Linked DNA regions of Macaca mulatta. The protein of the gene in region 1 interacts with the protein of each later gene in a pairwise test. Links are inferred from orthologs where the notes say so. Each region holds a gene or a part of one and is shown in the gene's direction. Other genes may lie near its edges. The genes, in order: UTP14C, myomegalin, TEX11, GOLGA2 and PRICKLE1.

What was found.
Region 2: the proteins of UTP14C (region 1) and myomegalin interact in a two-hybrid assay, tested with the Homo sapiens proteins (2 studies listed by BioGRID and IntAct). The two-hybrid records come from large-scale screens. The link is inferred for Macaca mulatta from reciprocal best matches to the Homo sapiens genes UTP14C and PDE4DIP.
Region 3: the proteins of UTP14C (region 1) and TEX11 interact in binary tests that used the Homo sapiens proteins (3 or more experiments, as listed by UniProt). The two-hybrid records come from large-scale screens. The link is inferred for Macaca mulatta from reciprocal best matches to the Homo sapiens genes UTP14C and TEX11.
Region 4: the proteins of UTP14C (region 1) and GOLGA2 interact in binary tests that used the Homo sapiens proteins (3 or more experiments, as listed by UniProt). The two-hybrid records come from large-scale screens. The link is inferred for Macaca mulatta from reciprocal best matches to the Homo sapiens genes UTP14C and GOLGA2.
Region 5: the proteins of UTP14C (region 1) and PRICKLE1 interact in a two-hybrid assay, tested with the Homo sapiens proteins (2 studies listed by BioGRID and IntAct). The two-hybrid records come from large-scale screens. The link is inferred for Macaca mulatta from reciprocal best matches to the Homo sapiens genes UTP14C and PRICKLE1.

Annotation. Positions count from the first base shown.
Region 1 is NC_133422.1:31,264,734-31,268,895, forward strand, and holds the start of UTP14C (U3 small nucleolar RNA-associated protein 14 homolog C), read left to right. Parts: upstream 1-1,362; coding exon 1,363-3,675; 3' UTR 3,676-4,162. Other genes in the region: ALG11 (GDP-Man:Man(3)GlcNAc(2)-PP-Dol alpha-1,2-mannosyltransferase), read left to right, coding at 874-1,145. UniProt on the Homo sapiens protein: Essential for spermatogenesis. May be required specifically for ribosome biogenesis and hence protein synthesis during male meiosis.
Region 2 is NC_133406.1:119,949,118-119,953,430, reverse strand, and holds the start of myomegalin, read left to right. Parts: upstream 1-1,505; 5' UTR 1,506-1,562; coding exon of another isoform or gene 1,563-1,638; 5' UTR 1,639-1,753; coding exon 1,754-2,878; intron 2,879-4,313. Other genes in the region: uncharacterized protein LOC144338663, read right to left, coding at 977-1,505, 1,563-1,638. UniProt on the Homo sapiens protein: Functions as an anchor sequestering components of the cAMP-dependent pathway to Golgi and/or centrosomes.
Region 3 is NC_133426.1:77,070,266-77,073,778, reverse strand, and holds part of TEX11 (testis-expressed protein 11), read left to right. Parts: intron 1-1,335; coding exon 1,336-1,485; intron 1,486-2,721; coding exon 2,722-2,830; intron 2,831-3,513. UniProt on the Homo sapiens protein: Regulator of crossing-over during meiosis. Involved in initiation and/or maintenance of chromosome synapsis and formation of crossovers.
Region 4 is NC_133420.1:19,418,370-19,421,882, forward strand, and holds part of GOLGA2 (golgin subfamily A member 2), read left to right. Parts: intron 1-1,127; coding exon 1,128-1,232; intron 1,233-1,489; coding exon 1,490-1,533; intron 1,534-1,652; coding exon 1,653-1,716; intron 1,717-2,135; coding exon 2,136-2,195; intron 2,196-2,378; coding exon 2,379-2,459; intron 2,460-3,327; coding exon 3,328-3,366; intron 3,367-3,513. UniProt on the Homo sapiens protein: Peripheral membrane component of the cis-Golgi stack that acts as a membrane skeleton that maintains the structure of the Golgi apparatus, and as a vesicle thether that facilitates vesicle fusion to the Golgi membrane.
Region 5 is NC_133416.1:49,413,955-49,417,467, reverse strand, and holds part of PRICKLE1 (prickle-like protein 1), read left to right. Parts: intron 1-559; 5' UTR 560-607; coding exon 608-739; intron 740-2,768; coding exon 2,769-2,882; intron 2,883-3,513. UniProt on the Homo sapiens protein: Involved in the planar cell polarity pathway that controls convergent extension during gastrulation and neural tube closure.

The DNA of each region.
Region 1 (4,162 bases):
TTCACCACTGGTTTAGAAACATTTGGAATTATTTAATTTCTCTCCTATACATCCAGGATGATACCAGCTCTGTACCATCCTTCAGATAATTGGGAAAGCAGTCACTTAAATCATTCTCTGAAGGGCTTAATTCTCCTAGGAATACAGCTAAGAAAGGCTGGCTAGATTAATTTATATTTCATGTGTATCATTTGGCAGAAACTAACCACAACTTTCATTTAGTTCAGCACTGTTGTTGGGCACGCAGTAGTCTCAAATATGCCAGAAATCCAGGCAGTAACATAAGCACGGCAATAGTATGCTTCACTTAGGTGATTCGCATTTTTTATTTTTTCTGCTAATGTAATTTGAACTATTAAAATTGTTTTTGATATCTTTTTACTCCTTTTGTTTTTCTAATACCTGTTAATATTCTACCATCTTGCTAACATTCTCTAGTCTTTTTTAATTATCTGCAATATATCTTTTTTAATAGGTTAGTCTTCCATCTACTTGTCTATTTTAACTAAAAATAAAGCAGCAGGCTGGGTGTGGTAGCTCACGCTGGTAAATCCCAGCACTTTGGGAGGCCAAGATGGGAGGACCACTTGAGGCTAGGAGTTAGAGGCCAGCCTGGGCAACATAGTGAGACCCTCTCTCTCCAAAAAAAAAAAAAAAAAAAAAAAAAATTGTATTATTATGAAGCTATGAAAACTAAAAAACTTAAAATTATTTTATTTTGTACTATAGAAGTTAAATAAGCAAATGTCTAGACATATAGACAATTAAGTTTCTCATAAGTCCCTTAAAATTTTTGAAGATTTCTGTTCATCCTCATTCTTATGAACACACTCAAAAACTTAAAATACTACATGATTTTTGTTTTTTTCTCAGGAGTTGTGGAGTGTATGGCAGCTGGCACAATTATCCTTGCACACAATTCAGGGGGCCCAAAGCTTGACATTGTCGTTCCTCACGAAGGAGATATAACTGGCTTTCTGGCTGAGAGTGAAGAAGACTATGCTGAAACTATCGCTCACATTCTTTCCATGTCTGCAGAAAAGAGACTCCAAATCAGAAAAAGTGCTCGTGCATCTGTAAGCAGATTCTCTGATCAGGAATTTGAAGTGACATTCCTATCATCTGTGGAAAAGTTATTTAAGTAATGCCATATCTGGAAAATTAAAGATATTTTATATAAACTGGTTAAACACCTTCATATGTAAATATTTTTCTAAATTCAATCTCATTTGTCAAATCATTTTACTTTAGAAAACAGACAAGAAAATTTCCTTTTAGAATAAAAGGAAGTGTTGAAAAGAAAATGGATGACTAGCCTTCAGCTTCCATTCTTGGTACACATGAGAGAAGCTGGCTGCTGAGATGAATGTGAACCGGGTTGCGGAGAGCCTTCTGGCTTTGAGCCAACAGGAAGAATTAGTGGATTTGCCAAAAAACTGCCCCTTGAGTGAGAATGAAGATGAGGGGGACAGTGATGGAGAGAGAAAGCATCAAAAGCTTCTGGAAGCAATCAGTTCCCTTGATGGAAAGAATAGGCGGAAATTGGCTGAGAGGTCTGAGGCTAGTCTGAAAGTGTCAGAGTTCAATGTCAGTTCTGAAGGATCAGGAGAAAAGCTGGTCCTTGCAGATCTCCTTGAGCCTGTTAAAACTACTTCTTCTTTGGCCACTGTGAAAAAGCAACTGAATAGAGTCAAATCAAAGAAGGTGGTGGAGTTACCTCTTAACAAAGAAAACATTGAACAGATCCACAGAGAAGTAGCATTCGGTAAAACCTCACAAGTCCTCTCTAAATGGGACCCTATCGTCCTGAAGAACCAGCAGGCAGAGCAGCTGGCTTTTCCCCTGGGGAAGGAGCAGCCAGCCATTGCTCCCATTGAACATGCGCTCAGTGGCTGGAAGGCAAGAACTCCCCTGGAGCAGGAAATTTTTAACCTCCTCCATAAGAACAAGCAGCCAGTAACAGACCCTTTACTGACTCCCATGGAAAAGGCCTCTCTCCGAGCCATGAGTCTGGAAGAGGCAAAGATGCACCGAGCAGAGCTTCAAAGGGCTCGGGCTCTGCAGTCCTACTATGAGGCCAAGGCTCGAAGAGAGAAGAAAATCAAAAGTAAAAAGTATCACAAAGTCGTGAAGAAAGGAAAGGCCAGGAAAGCCTCAAAAGAGTTGGAGCAGCTGCAGAAGGTTAATCCAACTGTGGCATTGGAAGAACTGGAAAAATTTGAAAATGCCAGAATGATGGAAAGAATGAGCCTTAAGCACCAAAACAGTGGGAAATGGGCCAAGTCAAAGGCAATTATGGCAAAATATGACCTGGAGGCTCGCCAAGCTATGCAGGAACAGTTGGCCAAGAACAAAGAACTGACACAGAAACTCCAGGTAGCCTCTGAGATTGAGGAAGAGGAGGGAGGCACAGAAGAAGTGGAAGAACTCCTTGTCCCCCATGTAGTGAATGAAGTCCAGATGAATGTGGAAGGACCGAATCCCTGGATGCTCAGAAGCTGCACCAGTGACACCAGAGAGGCTGCAACCCAGGAGGACCCTGAGCAACTGCCAGAGCCTGCGACCCATGAGGTTTCTGAAAGTGAGGGAGAAAGACCAGTGGCAGAGGAAGAAATTTTGTTGAGAGACTTTGAGGAGAGGCGATCCCTTAGAAAAAGATCTGAGCTCAACCAGGATGCTGAGCCAGCAGGCATTCAAGAAACAAAAGATTCTAGCAGCCAGGAGGTGCTGTCTGAATTGAGGGCACTATCTCAGAAATTGAAGGAAAACCATCAGTCCAGGAAGCAAAAAGCAAGTTCAGAGGGGACTGTTCCCCAGGTCCAGAGAGAGGAACCTGCCCCAGAAGAAGAGGCGCCCCTGTTGCTACAGAGGCCAGAGAGAGTACAAACTGTGGAAGAGCTAGAAGAGCTGGGAAAAGAAGATTGTTTTCAAAATAAGGAGCTTCCCAGACCTGTGTTAGAAGGGCAGCAGTCAGAGAGGACCCCAAATAATCGGCCTGATGCCCCTAAGGAGAAGAAAGAGAAGGAGCAACTGATCAACGTACAGAACTTCCTAACTACACAGTCTCCTTCCGTGAGGTCTTTGGCAGTTCCCACAACAATAGAGGAGCTGGAAGATGAAGAGGAGAGAGACCAAAGGCAGATGATAAAGGAAGCTTTTGCTGGGGATGATGTCATCAGAAATTTCTTGAAAGAGAAGAGAGAAGCTGTGGAGGCGAGTAAGCCAAAGGACGTGGACCTGACACTACCTGGCTGGGGCGAGTGGGGTGGTGTGGGCCTAAAGCCTAGTACCAAGAAAAGACGCCAGTTTCTCAAAGCCCCTGAGGGTCCTCCAAGAAAAGATAAGAATTTGCCAAATGTGATTATCAGTGAGAAGCGCAACATCCACGCAGCAGCTCATCAGGTACAAGTGCTTCCATATCCATTTACCCACCATCGGCAATTTGAAAGGACCATCCAGACCCCTGTAGGATCCACATGGAACACCCAGAGGGCTTTCCAAAAGCTGACTACTCCCAAGGTCATCACCAAGCCAGGTCATATCATTAAGCCCATAAAAGCAGAGGATGTGGGCTACCGGTCTTCCTCAAGGTCAGACCTGTCTGTCATACAGTGGAATCCAAAACAAATCACCACACGTCACAGTAAAGAGTTGAAGAAAAACTCTGTAGGTTGAGTAGCTGGAAAAGTGACAGCTAGGAGTTCTGATTCCACTTCCTTTGGTCCAGTTTTACTCTGCTACAGGGTGGATTCCAGAACTGGCTCAGCACATTGCATGTAGTTGAGCCACATTTTTAAAAAAAGAAAATGGATGACCATTAATTGACTAGCATTTTAGAATTGATCAGACATTAGAACACAGAAAAATGCTGGTACATTTACATTCTAAACAATACAGTGGATGACCCTTTTGAATATACCTAATGATTTCCTTTAAAAAGAAATTTTAAACAGACTTGTGTAATCATGTTCTCAAAGCATACAGTCAAGAGGTGGGACTGACTGATGCTTTATAGGTGTGTGTAGGGCAGTAGAGGCCAAGGTGCTGCCAACAGTCCTTTCCATACCGGTACTGGTGAAAATTGTTTTTGTTTAGTGCTATCAGCACATTTGTGTGGGTCTCGTTATCGCTTGACAGTACCGCATCTCAGCCTGGAAGTCAG
Region 2 (4,313 bases), on another chromosome or scaffold:
CTCAAGTCAGGAAGAGAATTCTTTATTAAAAATGGCCGGAGGGCGCGGTGGCTTAAGCCTGTAATCCCAGCACTTCGGGAGGCCCAGGCGGGCGGATCAGGAGCTCAGAAGATCAAGACCATCCTAGCTAACACGGTGAAACCCCGTCTCTACTAAAAAAATATGAAAAATTAGCCGGGCGTGGTGGCGGGCGCCTGTAGTCCCAGCTGCTCGGGAGGCTGAGGCAGGAGAATGGCGTGAGCCCGGGAGGCGAAGGTTGCAGTGAGCCGAGATCGCGCCACTGCACTCAAAAAAAAAAAATGGCCGGAGGTACCTGCATCCCACCTAGTCAGGGCTCTAGCTTCCCTCCTCTTTGTGTGCAATCCAAGTTTTAGACCCAAGGGTGGAGGACCTACCACTGTACAGTGCTGAGTAAGACAGGGTTCTCACCGAAGTCAGCGAAGTTCCCAGTCCTTTCTGGCGCGAGCTGCATTCCCAGACACTCCAGCTCTTGCCGAAAGGAGCTCCGTCTTTTGCGCTAGTGTTTGTCTACCCTCCCCTGCCCTAAAATAATGAATGCCCTCTACCTGAGGGAGAGACTTCAGTGGCGGTAATCTACTCGCGGCTGGCTGCATCCTTGAAAAAGCACATTTCCCTTCTACTATCTTCAAGATCTTGGTTAACCAGATTCACATTGTATTTGCAGGACGCTTTCTCAGGTGACTGCTCAGTGCTCTTTTTTACCGAAAGTAGGGCAAAGTCCCCCAAGGGTGCTAACCCTCCCCCACCCACATCAAGGAAGAAACAGTCCTCTACTCTTTTCTGGACATTCCGGTTCAGAGTCGAGGTAAGGGTTGCACGGCCCCGCCCCACCCGCCCCTCCGTTACCAAGCCTTCCCCCGCCCGCCTCGCAGTCTCAGGGCCTTAGAACCCAGGCGGGGCGAGGCCGGGAGAGGTGGGGCTGCTGGCTGGAGGCGGCGGCGGCGCGCAGCGGTACCTAGCGGCGCTGCCCGGCTGGCAGCCGGAGGACGTGGCACTGTCCGAGGATCCAGGGGGAGGGGATTCGGCCTTCTCCTCCCCGCGAGGAGGAGCCTCGGGACATCCTGCAGAGGCGGGAGGATCCTTGAGGGCACTGGTGCGCCTTTCAGGTGAGCTCTTAGCAGATAAAAGCGGCTGGCTGTGGTCCGCGCCAGTAGTGCTTTCTGCTCTGCACTCCCAGTGAGCCAGGTGCGCAACCGGAGTGGGGGCGAGGGGCGTGCTGGCCACCCCGCATGCGCAGAGCCGGGAGCCCGCTGAGCGGACTACAGCTCCCAGAGGAGCCTTGTGGAAGCCGCAGACGTGGAGCCGCTGGCGCCATCTTGAAATCTGATCCTCAATCCCCGAGCCTTTGAGTCTGCGCGGCCGGCCGCTGCTGCTCCGGGAGCCCAGTCTGTTAAAAGGGTAGGACGTTGAGGACGCGGCGGCTGGCGGGAGAGACAGCTGGGGAGAGACATGGCAGGGTCGGAGCGCGGCCTGCGCCTCTGTCACTCAGCATCCTCTTAGACGTTTCCACGCCCGCCCCCTGCCCAAGGGGCGGGGCTGACGGCTGTGGTACCCGGAGCCGGCGCACGGGGTAGGGGTGCACCCCTGCAGAGTGAGGACCCCACTGGGCTGTGCCATGCTGACTGGAGACCACTGAGGCGGGAGACAGAGCGCGGCGAAGAGCCATTGAGTGGTCATCCAGTAGCCGCCGCCGCCGCCGCCTCAGGAAGCTTGGCACCCGCTAGGAGGGAAGATGAAGGAGATTTGCAGGATCTGTGCCCGAGAGCTGTGTGGAAACCAGCGGCGCTGGATCTTCCACACAGCGTCCAAGCTGAACCTCCAGGTTCTGCTTTCGCACGTCCTGGGCAAGGATGTCCCCCGCGATGGCAAAGCCGAGTTCGCTTGCAGCAAGTGTGCTTTCATGCTTGATCGAATCTATCGATTCGACACGGTTATTGCCCGGATCGAAGCTCTTTCTATTGAGCGCTTGCAAAAGCTGCTACTGGAGAAAGATCGCCTCAAGTTCTGCATTGCCAGTATGTATCGGAAGAATAACGATGACTCTGGCCCGGAGGTCAAGGCGGGGAATGGGACGGTTGACATGTCTGTCTTACCTGATGCGAGATACTCTGCACTGCTCCAGGAGGACTTCGCCTATTCAGGGTTTGAGTGCTGGGTGGAGAATGAGGATCAGATCCAGGAGCCACACAGTTGCCATGGTTCGGAAGGCCCTGGAAACCGACCCAGGAGATGCCGTGGTTGTGCAGCTTTGCGGGTTGCTGATTCTGACTATGAAGCCATTTGTAAGGTACCTCGAAAGGTGGCCAGAAGTATCTCCTGTGGCCCTTCTAGCAGGTGGTCGACCAGCATTTGCACTGAAGAACCAGCGTTGTCTGAGGTTGGGCCACCCGACTTAGCAAGCACAAAGGTACCCCCAGATGGAGAAAGCATGGAGGAAGAGACGCCGGGTTCCTCTGTGGAATCTTTGGATGCAAGCGTCCACGCTAGCCCTCCACAACAGAAAGATGAGGAGACTGAGAGAAGTGCAAAGGAACTTGGAAAGTGTGACTGTTGTTCAGATGATCAGGCTCCGCCGCATGGGTGTAATCACAAGCTGGAGTTAGCTCTTAGCATGATTAAAGGTCTTGATTATAAGCCCATCCAGAGCCCCCGAGGGAGCAGGCTTCCGATTCCAGTGAAATCCAGCCCACCTGGAGCCAAGCCTGGCCATAGCATGACAGATGGAGTTAGTTCCGGGTTCCTTAACAGGTCTTTGAAACCCCTTTACAAGACACCTGTGAGTTACCCCTTGGAGCTTTCAGACCTGCAGGAGCTGTGGGATGATCTCTGTGAAGATTATTTGCCGCTCCGGGTCCAGGTATACAAAACGGCTACACAGTGCCTTTCTGATTATAGCTAGCTGGCCTCTGGCTTCACATGATTTCGGTCTAGGTGGAGGTTAGTAATATTCTAGACTTGAGAAAATTAGTCATGAGCCCATTTTTGCTGCACCTTTTCTGTGTCTCATTTAGTAAACGTGATTCGTACTCAGATAATTTGCTTTTCACAGTCTTTGTAAAATCTGTTGGCCTTCCCATTATCAAAATTGTATACCTTTTAAAACAAAAAGGTAAAGATTCCCACTTCACTTTTATCCTGTAAAAAGAAGACATTTAATCTCATTTCTGGCACTAGAACTTTTCCTCTTATCTCCTTTTTTTTTTTTTTTTTTTAACAACTTTTAAAATTTGTTCTTGTTTTCAGATTTATAGACGTTTCCTCCCAATGGCTTTCTGTAAGGCAGTTAGTTCTCTAGTTAGTTCTTCCCAGAGCATTGAAGCTTTCATCCGCAAAATGCCTGTAAATGATTAGAGCATAAGGTAAAAGGTTTGGGGGAAACCTATTAATCCACCAGTAAAGTATTATAACATCTGGACAATATTTATTATAATGAATAGTTCATTTGAGGATTAGTGATGACTCATTCATAAAAGAGACAGGAATTCAAGTATTCAAGTACAGTATTGTCACTCAAAACGTTAAGGCATAAACTGTTCACAGCCAGAACTCTGCTGAGTTCTACTGGAAGATATTTGATATTAAGAAAGGATTAACCCATTATTGGATCAGAGGAGAGTTTCATTCATTATAGTCTTGAATTCTTAATGACTAGAGGATGGCAGTTGCTTAATTTGAACCATTCATGTCTGCCCAATTGATTCTATACCAACCTTTTAAAATCAGCTATGGTAGTTTGTTTCTATAGCAACAGTAAATGCTAGGTTCAGTTAACTTTGTGAAACATACTGGCATGTTCCTCTTGATACAACTTATTTAGCGATACTGTCACAAAGGTAGATGTGATCTAGAAGGCATTTTTAGAAAGCCTGCTACTGGTCAACATCATTCCAGAAATTTAGAGCTTGATAAGTAACATTGTTGATGGTCACATGAAACTTTTGGAAAGTAGTTCTGTGGTATGTATACTTTCTTTCACAATAAGAACCTAAGCAGAAAACAGGAGAAAAGTTTTTAAATTTACACAAAATTATGAGTAGCAGCATAGATGAGAAACAGCAGAGATGAAAGTGTCATGAAAGGTAAAAAGTCAGTGCGTTTTCATTTGTATAAAATGTATGTACTTCTTTTCTTTTGCTTTTCCTTTCAGTGGAGCCTCAGCTGAATTTGGGCTTTACAGTATTTCTGGACCAGACATAGGTGTTACAAATTAAACATGGTGTTTTCTTATTAGGGTCTAAAATTAGTTGGGCCAGGATGAATGGGAAATAAACTCGTCTCCCCAACCCGCCACC
Region 3 (3,513 bases), on another chromosome or scaffold:
AAAAATAGAGCACAAATCATTAAAATTTAAAACAGAAAACAGTAGATAAAGTCAATGAAACCAAAAGTTTTTTTTCTTTTGAAACAATACAATTGATAAACCTCTAGCTAGGCAAATCAAGCACAAATTAACAATATCAGGAATAGATGTGGAGACCTCACTAGAGATCCTACAGACATTTTAAAAGGTAGTAAGAGAATATTTTGAACACTTTTATGTCCATGAATTTAGAATTTTAGGTGAAATGTACAAATTTCTTGAAAGTCACAAACTACCATAGCTCCCTCAAGAAGAAATATATACTCCTATGCCTATTAATTAAATTCATAGTTTAAAATCTTCCAACAAAGAAAACTGCACTGAAGAATTCTACCAAACATTTAAAGAAGATGTAATACCAACTCTATATAAACTCATCCAGAAAGGAGGGCACAATTCCCAGTTCATCTTATAAGACTATTATCCTGATACCAGTAGTAGACAAAGACAATGTAAGATACTGCAGACCAAGATTCCTCATGAAAATAGATGCAAAACATAGATGCAGAAAAGTAAAGATAGTTGCTACCTTGGTTGGATGGTATTGACCGGAAAGGAGCACAAAGGAACCTTCTGTATAGTTTTAAGTGTTTGTTATCACAATCTAGGTAGTTATTACACGGGTTTAAACACATGTAAAAACTCGTCAAGCTGTTTAAGGTTAGAGTACTTCTTTCAGTTTGTTGTCTATATGTCATACCTCAAAACATTTTTCAATGTTCAATCTACCAAGAAGGATGAATGAAAACTGTCTCACGTAGTTTGGTGTATGACACCTGACATGAAATTCTTTCTATGCTGATGCCCAAGAAATTCTGTCGACTAATGAAACAGTTTGGAAACTCTCCTCTATTCTACTTAAAATAAAATCACTGTTAGTTTATACAGCACTGTATCTTCTGGTTAACTCAACCATTAGGGTGAGCACCAGCCCAGTTGAAAGTTCACAAGAAGCAAGTAAACATTGGATTTGAATTAGAATCAATAATATCTGCGGGTTTTCTCAGGCTGATTAGAAGCATCGTGGCAATTGTTTGAGAAAATATAGGTAGTTCTAGTGAATGCACTACAGAATGTTGGAAGTAGTGTTGAGCTTGTAGATTTAAAATGTGTTAGAATCAAATAAAAAACCAAAAATAAAATTTAGAATCTGTCTACAGCAGTGAAGTTGACCTTCAAATTGTAAGTAAAATTAATTTTTCTTAGAAGGAAAACCTCTCCAGTTAGTGAGATTACAACCAAAGAGAATAATAAAATATAATCACAAAGAATGTTGCATTTTTGCCTCTTTCTTAGGGACCTTCTCAAATGATTCATGTGAGAAATTGCTTCTGCTGTACGAGTTTGAAGTTAGAGCCAAATTGAATGATCCATTACTGGAAAGCTTCCTGGAATCAGTGTGGGAGCTGCCTCATTTAGAAACTAAAACATTTGAAACAATTGCAAGTAAGAGCTATATTTATGCTTTTGTAAGGCTGGTGGCCATTTCTATCGTATGACTTTTTTTCTTCTCTTTACTCCTCTTTCTTACCTCCAGGTAGGAAATAATTTTTCCTCATAGCACTTTGTTTCTCCTTCTCTAACGCCATTCTTAGACTATTTTGTATTATGATCATTTGTGCATTTATCTTCTTCACTCTATGAGATTATAATCTCTTTAGGGTCATAAACAATAATTATTTAATTTGTACTTACAAACCCTAGCGACGTTCATTGCTCCTAATAGGTGCTCAAATTTTTTCTGTGTGGAATTTAATTGTGTAACTACACAATAGGGGGAGCTCAAACTTTAGAAAGTTTTTCTGGGCTAGCTAGAAATAACTGAATGCTTCAACAATCAAAAGTGATGCAATCTTAGCAGTTTGCTGAAATGTACAGAGAAATACTGGTAATATTTTTTAACACAACTGCCACTCTCAAATTTCGGGCTGAACTTTAAGTGGGTTTGGGGGCTTAGAGCCTCTTTGGGAGTACACTGCAGGAAACAGCCTAATTTTCTTCCCTTTTTGTCTCTCACCCTCTTCAGGAGCATGTGTGTGGTTAATAAAAATATTAGGTAGCTCCAAGTGCACAAGAGTCACATTTGCCTTTCCTTGGTCTTGCCAAGACAGAATTCCTAGAGCCATGGAGCAGATGATATATACTTTATAGACATGTGACAGTGACCACTGCTCCTTGTATAACGGAACTCCAATTCTAAAAATCTGTTAAATGCATGTGGAAGTCTTAGGGTTAGTTACCTCTGATACTCCCTTGTCAAGTGTTTCCTATTTTTAGTATCAGATAAAAATAGGACATTTTAGTACAAACCTGTTTTGATTAGTGCCCTTTTACTGATCTGCTTTCTGTTTCCTTCTTAGTGTGCCCTTCCTTGACTCTCATTCATAAGATTATTGCTTCACCTGTATGACTGAGTGCAAGGTCATAGAAACAGTAGGTTTTCTGTTGATGTTTGCTGAATAAAGGATGTTACCTGGTAATCCCACCGTGCTACTCTACCCAGAAAATAGAAGCTATTTCCAAAAGCAACTGTAGATTTATCATTTATAAAATTCATTGTTGTTTATTTTTGTTCATCTGTTTCAGCCCAGTTTCATTAGAGAAAGCAAGTGGTAGCCTGGGATGAAAACTGTGATGGGTGACATTATGATGTTCACAACCTTTTTCCTTTTCTTCCTCTAGTAATAGCAATGGAAAAGCCTGCACACTATCCTTTCATTGCTCTCAAGGCCTTGAAAAAGGCCTTATTGCTCTACAAAAAGGAAGAGTCAATTGATGTATCACAATACAGGTTAGTAAATACAATTCAAAACTTAATCCAGCCTTTTTGATAGCCAAAAGAACTATAGTCAATGCCTCATAAGTAACCAATCATTCTTAATTGACCCAACTTAAGAGATGATCTGGGGATGATCTGGGGGCACTCCTGTGGACAGCTCCATGCTGAGAGTTGTATTACAGACCAATAATCATTTAGCAAAGTCAAGGAGCTTGCTTTTCCCAAAGGAGAAAAAAAAAGGGGAAAAGTTGCTTCTTTGTGTGAATCTGTGTATATAATAAAACTGCTAAGTACCTTTCTTTCTTTGTTTCATCACTAAATAATATTCCAAATGTACAAAAAAGTACAGAGGTTAATATAACAAACACCAACGTATCCACCACCCAGATGTATTTGTTTTATTTTTAGAGATGGAGTCTCGTGTTGTTGCCCAGGCTGGATTCAAACTCCTGGGCTCAAACGATTCTCCACCTCAGCTTCATGAGTAGCTGGGATTACAGGCACACAGCACCCAAATTTAACAAATGTTAACATTTTGCTATGTTTGCCTCATTATTTTTCTAAGCACTTTAAGCACTGATAAGTGCTGTATAAAATATTATCTATTGGAGACTTTTTTGTTTTCTGTGTCCAGACATGGGGAAAACTAGATGTTGTGTGACTTTTTTGTCTGGAAAACATCATTACAGTCTCCC
Region 4 (3,513 bases), on another chromosome or scaffold:
ATTAGAAGACCTCTAGAACCAGAGGCTTGGGTCAAGAGTAAGGCCAGAGCCTCGAGAGAGGCCGGGTGGGGCTCTGATCAAGCAGGTAGGTCCAGTTGGGGGCGAGGGAGAGGCTCCATGTGACCCCAAGTTCTGAATCCTAGGATTGTCCCCAGGTACAATTCCCAGGAAAGAGGCCCCATAACTTCCAAGTTGCCAGGAGCCATAGGGCAGATGTCTTACCTCTGTTTTCTTGGGTGGTTTCTTGGTTGGGTAGATGTTTTTGGAGGTAAGAGGTTGGGGTGGGGGTGGTAGCCATGGTTTATTCTCCTTTTACCTCCAGATAGTTGGGGAGAGGCTTCTAGTTGGGTAATTTTTTTTTTTTTTCCTGGAAAGGTCTGAATCAGAAACACAGCCAATAGGCCAGGTTCAATGGCTCACACTTGTAATCTCAACACTTTGGGAGACCAAGGTGGGAGGATCACTTGAGCCCAGGACTTTGAGACCAGCCTGGGCAAGATGGCGAGACCACATCTCTATAAAAATTAGCTGAGCATGGTGGTGTGCTCCTGTAATCTCCGCTACTAGGGAGGCTGAGGTGGGAGCATTGCTTGAGCCCAGGAGGTGGAAGCTGCAGTGAGCTATGATTGTGCCACTGCAGGGGAGAAGGGAAGGGAGGAAAGGAGGAGAGAAGCAGGCAGATAGCTACATTGCCCAGACAACTACTTCCTCATCACCATCCTCTGCCCACTAGGGGCCCAGTTAGGGTCACTCTGCAGCACAGACTGGCCTTCTGGAAGAACAGTGCCTTTCTCCTCCCTGACTTTGGCACACCTTCCTCCCACCTGCTGTGGCTGCCACAGGTCAGTGCCTGCTGCTGTCTTTTGCTGAGCTCCAGAGAGAGCGAGGTCCTCGTGTTCATGAAGGAGGCCGTGCAGCCCCTGCTTTGAGCTTTGGCCATCTGAAATGCTGCCTAGCAGCCCAAGGCCTGGGCAACCATATCCACACCCCTGAGTGGCTCCTAGCATGTGTGACTGTCACTGACTGCAGCAACACCTGTCCTACCTGTTCCACACCCTTGTGTTCATGGCACTGAGGCACCTTCTATCCCGCATGGCCCCCTAACCCCCTGCTCTGTTCTGTGACAGACACCCAAGGACAATGCTGATTCTCTACAACCGTCTGATGACACTGTGTTACCTGGCGGTGTCCCTTCCCCTGGTGCCAGTCTCACTAGCATGGCGGTATCTCAGGTTTGTGCCTCCTCCCCCTCTGCCTACTCCCCTCCTGTACCTACTATGGATTATCTTCTCTTTTCACAGGTAGCTTGTTCCCTAGGGCCAAGGGCTCTTCCTGGGGAATGGGCTGGGGGAAGGCTCAGACTAGGCTTTTTCTTGAGGTCTGGGGATATGGAAGATTGTTGGAATGAGTTTGGGAGCTTGACTCACCCTGTCCTGGGTGATTCTTAGCAGACATTGAATGACCATCTCATACGTTTCTTCCCACACAGAATCATGATGCTGACAATGTCCCTAATCTCATGGATGAAACTAAGTGAGTGTCTCCTGTTGGGGCAGCAGTCTCTAGGCCGAGAGAGTCAGGGAGGCCACTGCCCATGACCTTCTTTCCCATTGAGCCACCTGCACCCCTGACCCCTGTGTCTCCATCCCTAGGACTTTCTCATCAACCGAGAGCCTGCGACAACTCTCCCAACAGCTCAATGGTCTTGTTTGTGAGGTACCTCAGGAATTGAGGCCCAGAGTGGGGTGCGGGGGGAAGGGAACTATGATAGAAAGAAACTGAGGCAGGGATTCACAAGAGAGGGAAGATCCTGGACCAGCCAATGTGCTGGGCAATGTTGAGGAAGTCGGCTTTTCCCTGAGCTTTCTCCCTTGAAGTTGTGCACATGAAGGAGTTGGACCCTGTGACTGGTTGCATCATTTTATCCTGCTGCAGAAGCACTGGATGAGAGGTGCTCGGGAGGGAAGGATGGTGGGGAAATAAGAACCATGAGAGAAGTTGGCACAAAGGGGTTACGGGACAAAGGGTCCAAGTTAGAAGAGAAAATGTTGCCAATTGCTGGGGAAGAAAGGAAGTCAGAGGGCTTAGACACTGAGGGGACAGAACATCTCCATGTGCACTCTCGTCTCTTATAGTCTACGACATGTGTGAATGGGGAGGGCCCTGCATCATCTGCTAACCTGAAGGATCTGGAGGTAAGAGGCCCTGGGCCGTGGCCCAGTGACCCTGCAGGCCAGCCCTCCAACCTCCTCCCATAGCGGGGGCTGGGTGCCCCTCTGCCAGCTGAGACAGCCCACACACCCCCCAACCCTAATGATTGCTCTCTCTACCTCTCCCCCCAATCCTCCTCCAACTCCTCCTCTCTGCATGCGCCTCAGAGCCGGTACCAACAGCTAGCGGTAGCCCTGGACTCCAGCTATGTAACAAACAAACAACTCAATATCACGATAGAGAAATTGGTAAGAGTCCAGTGGGGTCCCCTGATTCCACGCTGCTAATCCTGGGCTCCAGTTTCCCCTTGGGACCCTGAAGAAAGGGGCAGGGGGCCCCTGGTGCCAAGGGCGAATGGGGAGCTGGGGGGCCCAGGCCTCAGCTGGAGGGACCCCAGAGCACGGAGCATGCAGCATGGCTCTTCTGTTGCTGCCCTCTTTGCCTACTCTCTCTTCTCTAGACACCCCTGCTCGAGTCCTTGCCACACATGCCCTGGGATTGTTGCCTCTTGGGGAAGCACTAGCCTGACTGGTTGTCAGGAGCCCCGTATTTCCACCCTGACTCAGTCCTTAATTTGCTCTTGGATTCGGGACAAGCCACCTCTCCTTCTTGGGCTTGCATTTCCTGAGGAGGTAGAGTTAGAGAGTATCAAAGGTCTCTTAGCTCTGAGCGTTGAAGATTTAAAGGCCCACTAGAATGTAAACCTCAGGGCCAAGGGCTCCTGTCTGTCTTTTTCTGTCTGATATCCCTGCTATTAAGAACTGTACCTGGCCTATATGTGCTCAGCAAATGTTTGTTGAATGAATACACCTTTCTAAATCACAAACTGGCAGAGGGTGGGCTTTTCTCACACTCCATCTCTAGAGGTTTATGTTACTGTCCTTTCAAGAGAATCCAGATTCAGACTTTCAGTTCTGTGGTTGTGGGCAAAAACCAACAAAGACACAAATCCCCTTTCCTTGGGAGCCTGAGGAGAGTTGAGCAGTTCGTGTTCCCATTGGGTCTGAGAACTTTGCCTTTAAAATCCATTCCTGGCTCCTGCCTACCCCTTCCTGGTCTGGGGAATAGGGTTGAGGGGGCCACCCTCAGTCACCTTCCTTTGACTCTTCCCCACAGAAACAACAGAACCAAGAAATTACGGATCAGTTGGAAGAAGTAACGTGATTTCTTTGTTTGCTCACAACATGACAGCTGGGTTTGGGGGGCACTCAAATGTAGAGGCCTCAGTCTCGTCTCACCCGCTCCCAGCCTGGGGAAGAAGGCTCACCCCCCAAGATTCCACCCCATCCCCACAGGGTCCCT
Region 5 (3,513 bases), on another chromosome or scaffold:
TTTAGCGTCTTACAAAACATAATTAGAAACCTGAAACCTAAGCAGTTTGGCTGAGAGGACCCACTCTCAGAAGGCAGCACTGCCTCAGTTGGAAAAATTGCTTAGGAAATACGGGGGACTGAGTGGGGGTCTTGAGCCATTTTTCATGGGGCATAGTAGTGGGCAAGGCAGATGGCCTGATCCCTGACACTTCCTTCTACAACTTATAGGATGTCACAAGGATTTGCGGGCAAGTTGGAAAGTCAACACATCAACTTTCTTGAGAACTTTTCTAAGGAATTGGCTATAGAGAGGCACCTTTTAAAGGCTCCTGGAAATAAACTAGCTTTGGTGGCATGTTCTGAAATTCTGAGCTGGCAAAGGGACTACTACCAAATTATATAGCTCTAAATTTTGAATTTCAGGGGGCCTGGGGGCTGGGGGTTGGTGACAGTAGTAATTTGGTTACTTTCTCTGGGCCCAGCTGTGTGTTAACAGCATTCAGTAAAAGCTCTGGGTCAGAGTAAGAGACATGCATTCAGGTTTTAGATGTCTTTGTTTTTTCTTATATTGTCCACAGCAGCCATTGTTTGATGTCCTGTGCCTGAGAAACCAGGCTTTAAACTCTATGCCTTTGGAGATGGAGCCCAAAATGAGCAAGCTGGCCTTTGGCTGTCAGAGAAGTTCCACATCAGATGATGACTCTGGCTGTGCGTTGGAGGAGTATGCCTGGGTTCCCCCGGGCCTGAGACCAGAGCAGGTAGGAACGTCATCATCCTATATTTACTCTTTGTTTTTCAGTGTGAGTTCAGACTTCAGAACATTATTTTGCAAATGGATAGAACATCACTGAGATGCTGGAATACCACCCTCCTCAGTCCTTATTCTTCTTTGTATGGCTTTGAAGTTTTACTTTTGAAGGTCATATTTAGTTTCTCAATGGAAGTTTCCAGTCTCGTCGTACCCCATGGTTCCAGAAGCCTCATAAGGATCCCATTTTTGCTCTAATGAATGAAATCCGGAGTACTACATATGCATTGGTTATATGTATTTCGGATGAATCCCTCTTGAGAGTGAGAAGAATTTACCTTTTGAAAAACTTCTGTGACAACAAAAAGGCAATAAAAGAAAAAAGTTTCCATGCCAGTTCTCAGCAATGCTTTTGCTTTGGAAGCGAGATGGCAAGCTATCAGAAACCCTCTGAAGTGTTACTGCTTAGACATTTGACCTTTGATAACTTTGCATATAAAAGAGCCTGTCACTTACACCAGAGATTGGGAAAAAAAATTAGAGAGTTAATTTTATGCTTTGTTTGTGTTGTTATTTTAAGGAAGATGAGAACATTCCATATGCCTATTTAATTTTCCCAATATCTTTACAATGATTAACTTGTTGAAAATCACGTGATATTATTAAAAGAGCAAAGGCATCATTTGAAAATAAAGTTGACAGTGGGGTGTGTGGTTGCTTTGCTCTGAGTTAGGGTTCTGTTTCCTGTAGGGGGGGACATTTTTTGAGAATAGGGTATCCTTATTTATCCATGGCATAGCACAGTACCTGGCACGCATGTAGCTGATATTCAGTAAGTGTTTATAACTGTAAAAAGCTTCTAGAGCTGATAGAATGGGGAGAGGGTGGAGTACTGGTGAAGCAGTTAGAAAAGCAGTATTTGGACAAACTACTTAGAGAGAATCCCTTCTTACATCTAGGGTGGGTAGGTTTTGTGTGGTACTAAGGTATTGAAGTAGACAGGCCCTAAATTCCTGTCTCATGTCTTTTTTTTTTTTCATTTATTCCTTCTCAGCTCTGCAGTATCCTTTGCAGTACTCATTAAGGGATGTTCCTTTAAAGATATCAGAACACAAACAGGCAGAAATTAAGTTTTCCTTTCAGAATGAGCAAAGTACAGCTCAATATGGCTTCTCTCCAATTTCCCTGGGGAGACTGACTTCAGGTATTCAGAAAATAGCATACATGGAAGCAAAGAAAGCTGATGTTTGAGAGCACCTGATAAAGAAGAGTTTACAACATTTAGCTAAACAGCTTTTGTCTTTGTGATGTGTAAAATTCAGAGAGCAAATTCAGTGTGTTTGTGTACTGGGTGGATTTGGGGCCATGTCACATAATGTGGTATGGTAATTTGCACAATTCACCCAGGACTCTCTCTCTTGCTGATCTCTTAGCTGACCCGTTGGAAGATTGGCTGAGGAAGAGTAGTCTTTTTTTTTTTTTTTTTTTTTTTTGAGATGGAGTCTTCCTCTGTCCCCCAGGCTGGAGTGCAGTGGCGCGATCTCGGCTCACTGCCACCTCCGCCTCCTGGGTTCAAGCGATTCTCCTGCCTCAGCCTCCCGAGTAGCTAGGATTACAGGTGTGCACCACCACACCCAGCTAATTTTTGTAGTTTTAGTAGAGACAGGGTTTCACCACGTTGGCCAGGCTGGTCTCAAACTCCTGACCTCAGGTGATCCACCTGCCTCGGCCTCCCGGAGTGCTGGGATGACAGGCGTGAGCCACAGCACCAGGAAGAGTAGTCTTAAATGTGCATATTTTATGGTGCATAATTTATGATGTCCCTAATTTTCACTACAAATTACATTCCTGAAGAGCAATTTAGCAGCTGGGTGCTAGTTATCTGAAGGTTTGCAGTTCTGCTGAGTTGGCTCAGCTGGTCTTCTCATTAGCTACAAGAGGCCAAACCCTGTACCTAGGGAAAGGTAACTTTTAAAGATTAAGTGAGCTGAAATGCTCAGTTCTGTATACTGATGCCATTCTCACTGTCTCTTATGCAGATCCAGCTCTATTTTGCTTGCTTACCAGAGGAAAAGGTTCCTTACGTTAACAGCCCTGGAGAGAAGCATCGGATTAAACAGCTTTTGTACCAGTTACCACCACATGATAATGAGGTAAAATAGCCGGAAGAAGGCTAATTAGAAAAAAGAAAAAAATGCATGAGAAGCATTGAGATGCTGCTCATAAACCCCATATCCTCACTGGTGAGGGCTCTCTTTTGCCTTTCTTTAGTTAAAATTTGGCCAGAGAATACAGCTTTCCATTCTTTGAGAGAAGAGAGAAAAGAGTATCAGTGTAATCAACTTAACACAAGTTGGTTTTTATAGTGTTTGCAGCCACCCACCAATGATCAGGAACCTACAAATGCCGGAGATTTCCCTGCCCCTGCATCCAGAGTGAATGCTTTATGGTCATTCAGGCCTGCAGTTGAGTTGAGTGCATGTAGAATGGAGAGTAAAAGTGGCAGTTAACAAGTTTAAACCTTTTGTGGAAAGGTTAATGTCCTATTTTTTTTTTAATGTCTGTGCTGATAAGGGTTTTCAATTAAACATTTCTTATTTAAAAAAAAAAAAAAAAGACTATTCCTTCACGCTGCATTTCCCTTTTTCTAGAGAGGCTGTAAAATTCGGATATGGTGTCATTTTAAAATCGTGGAGGTGTGACACAGGCGAGCTAAACTTACTATTTTATTTCCTGAAACCCTAACTCTGGAAGTAGAGAACTGGTGAGAAAGACTGTGCACTC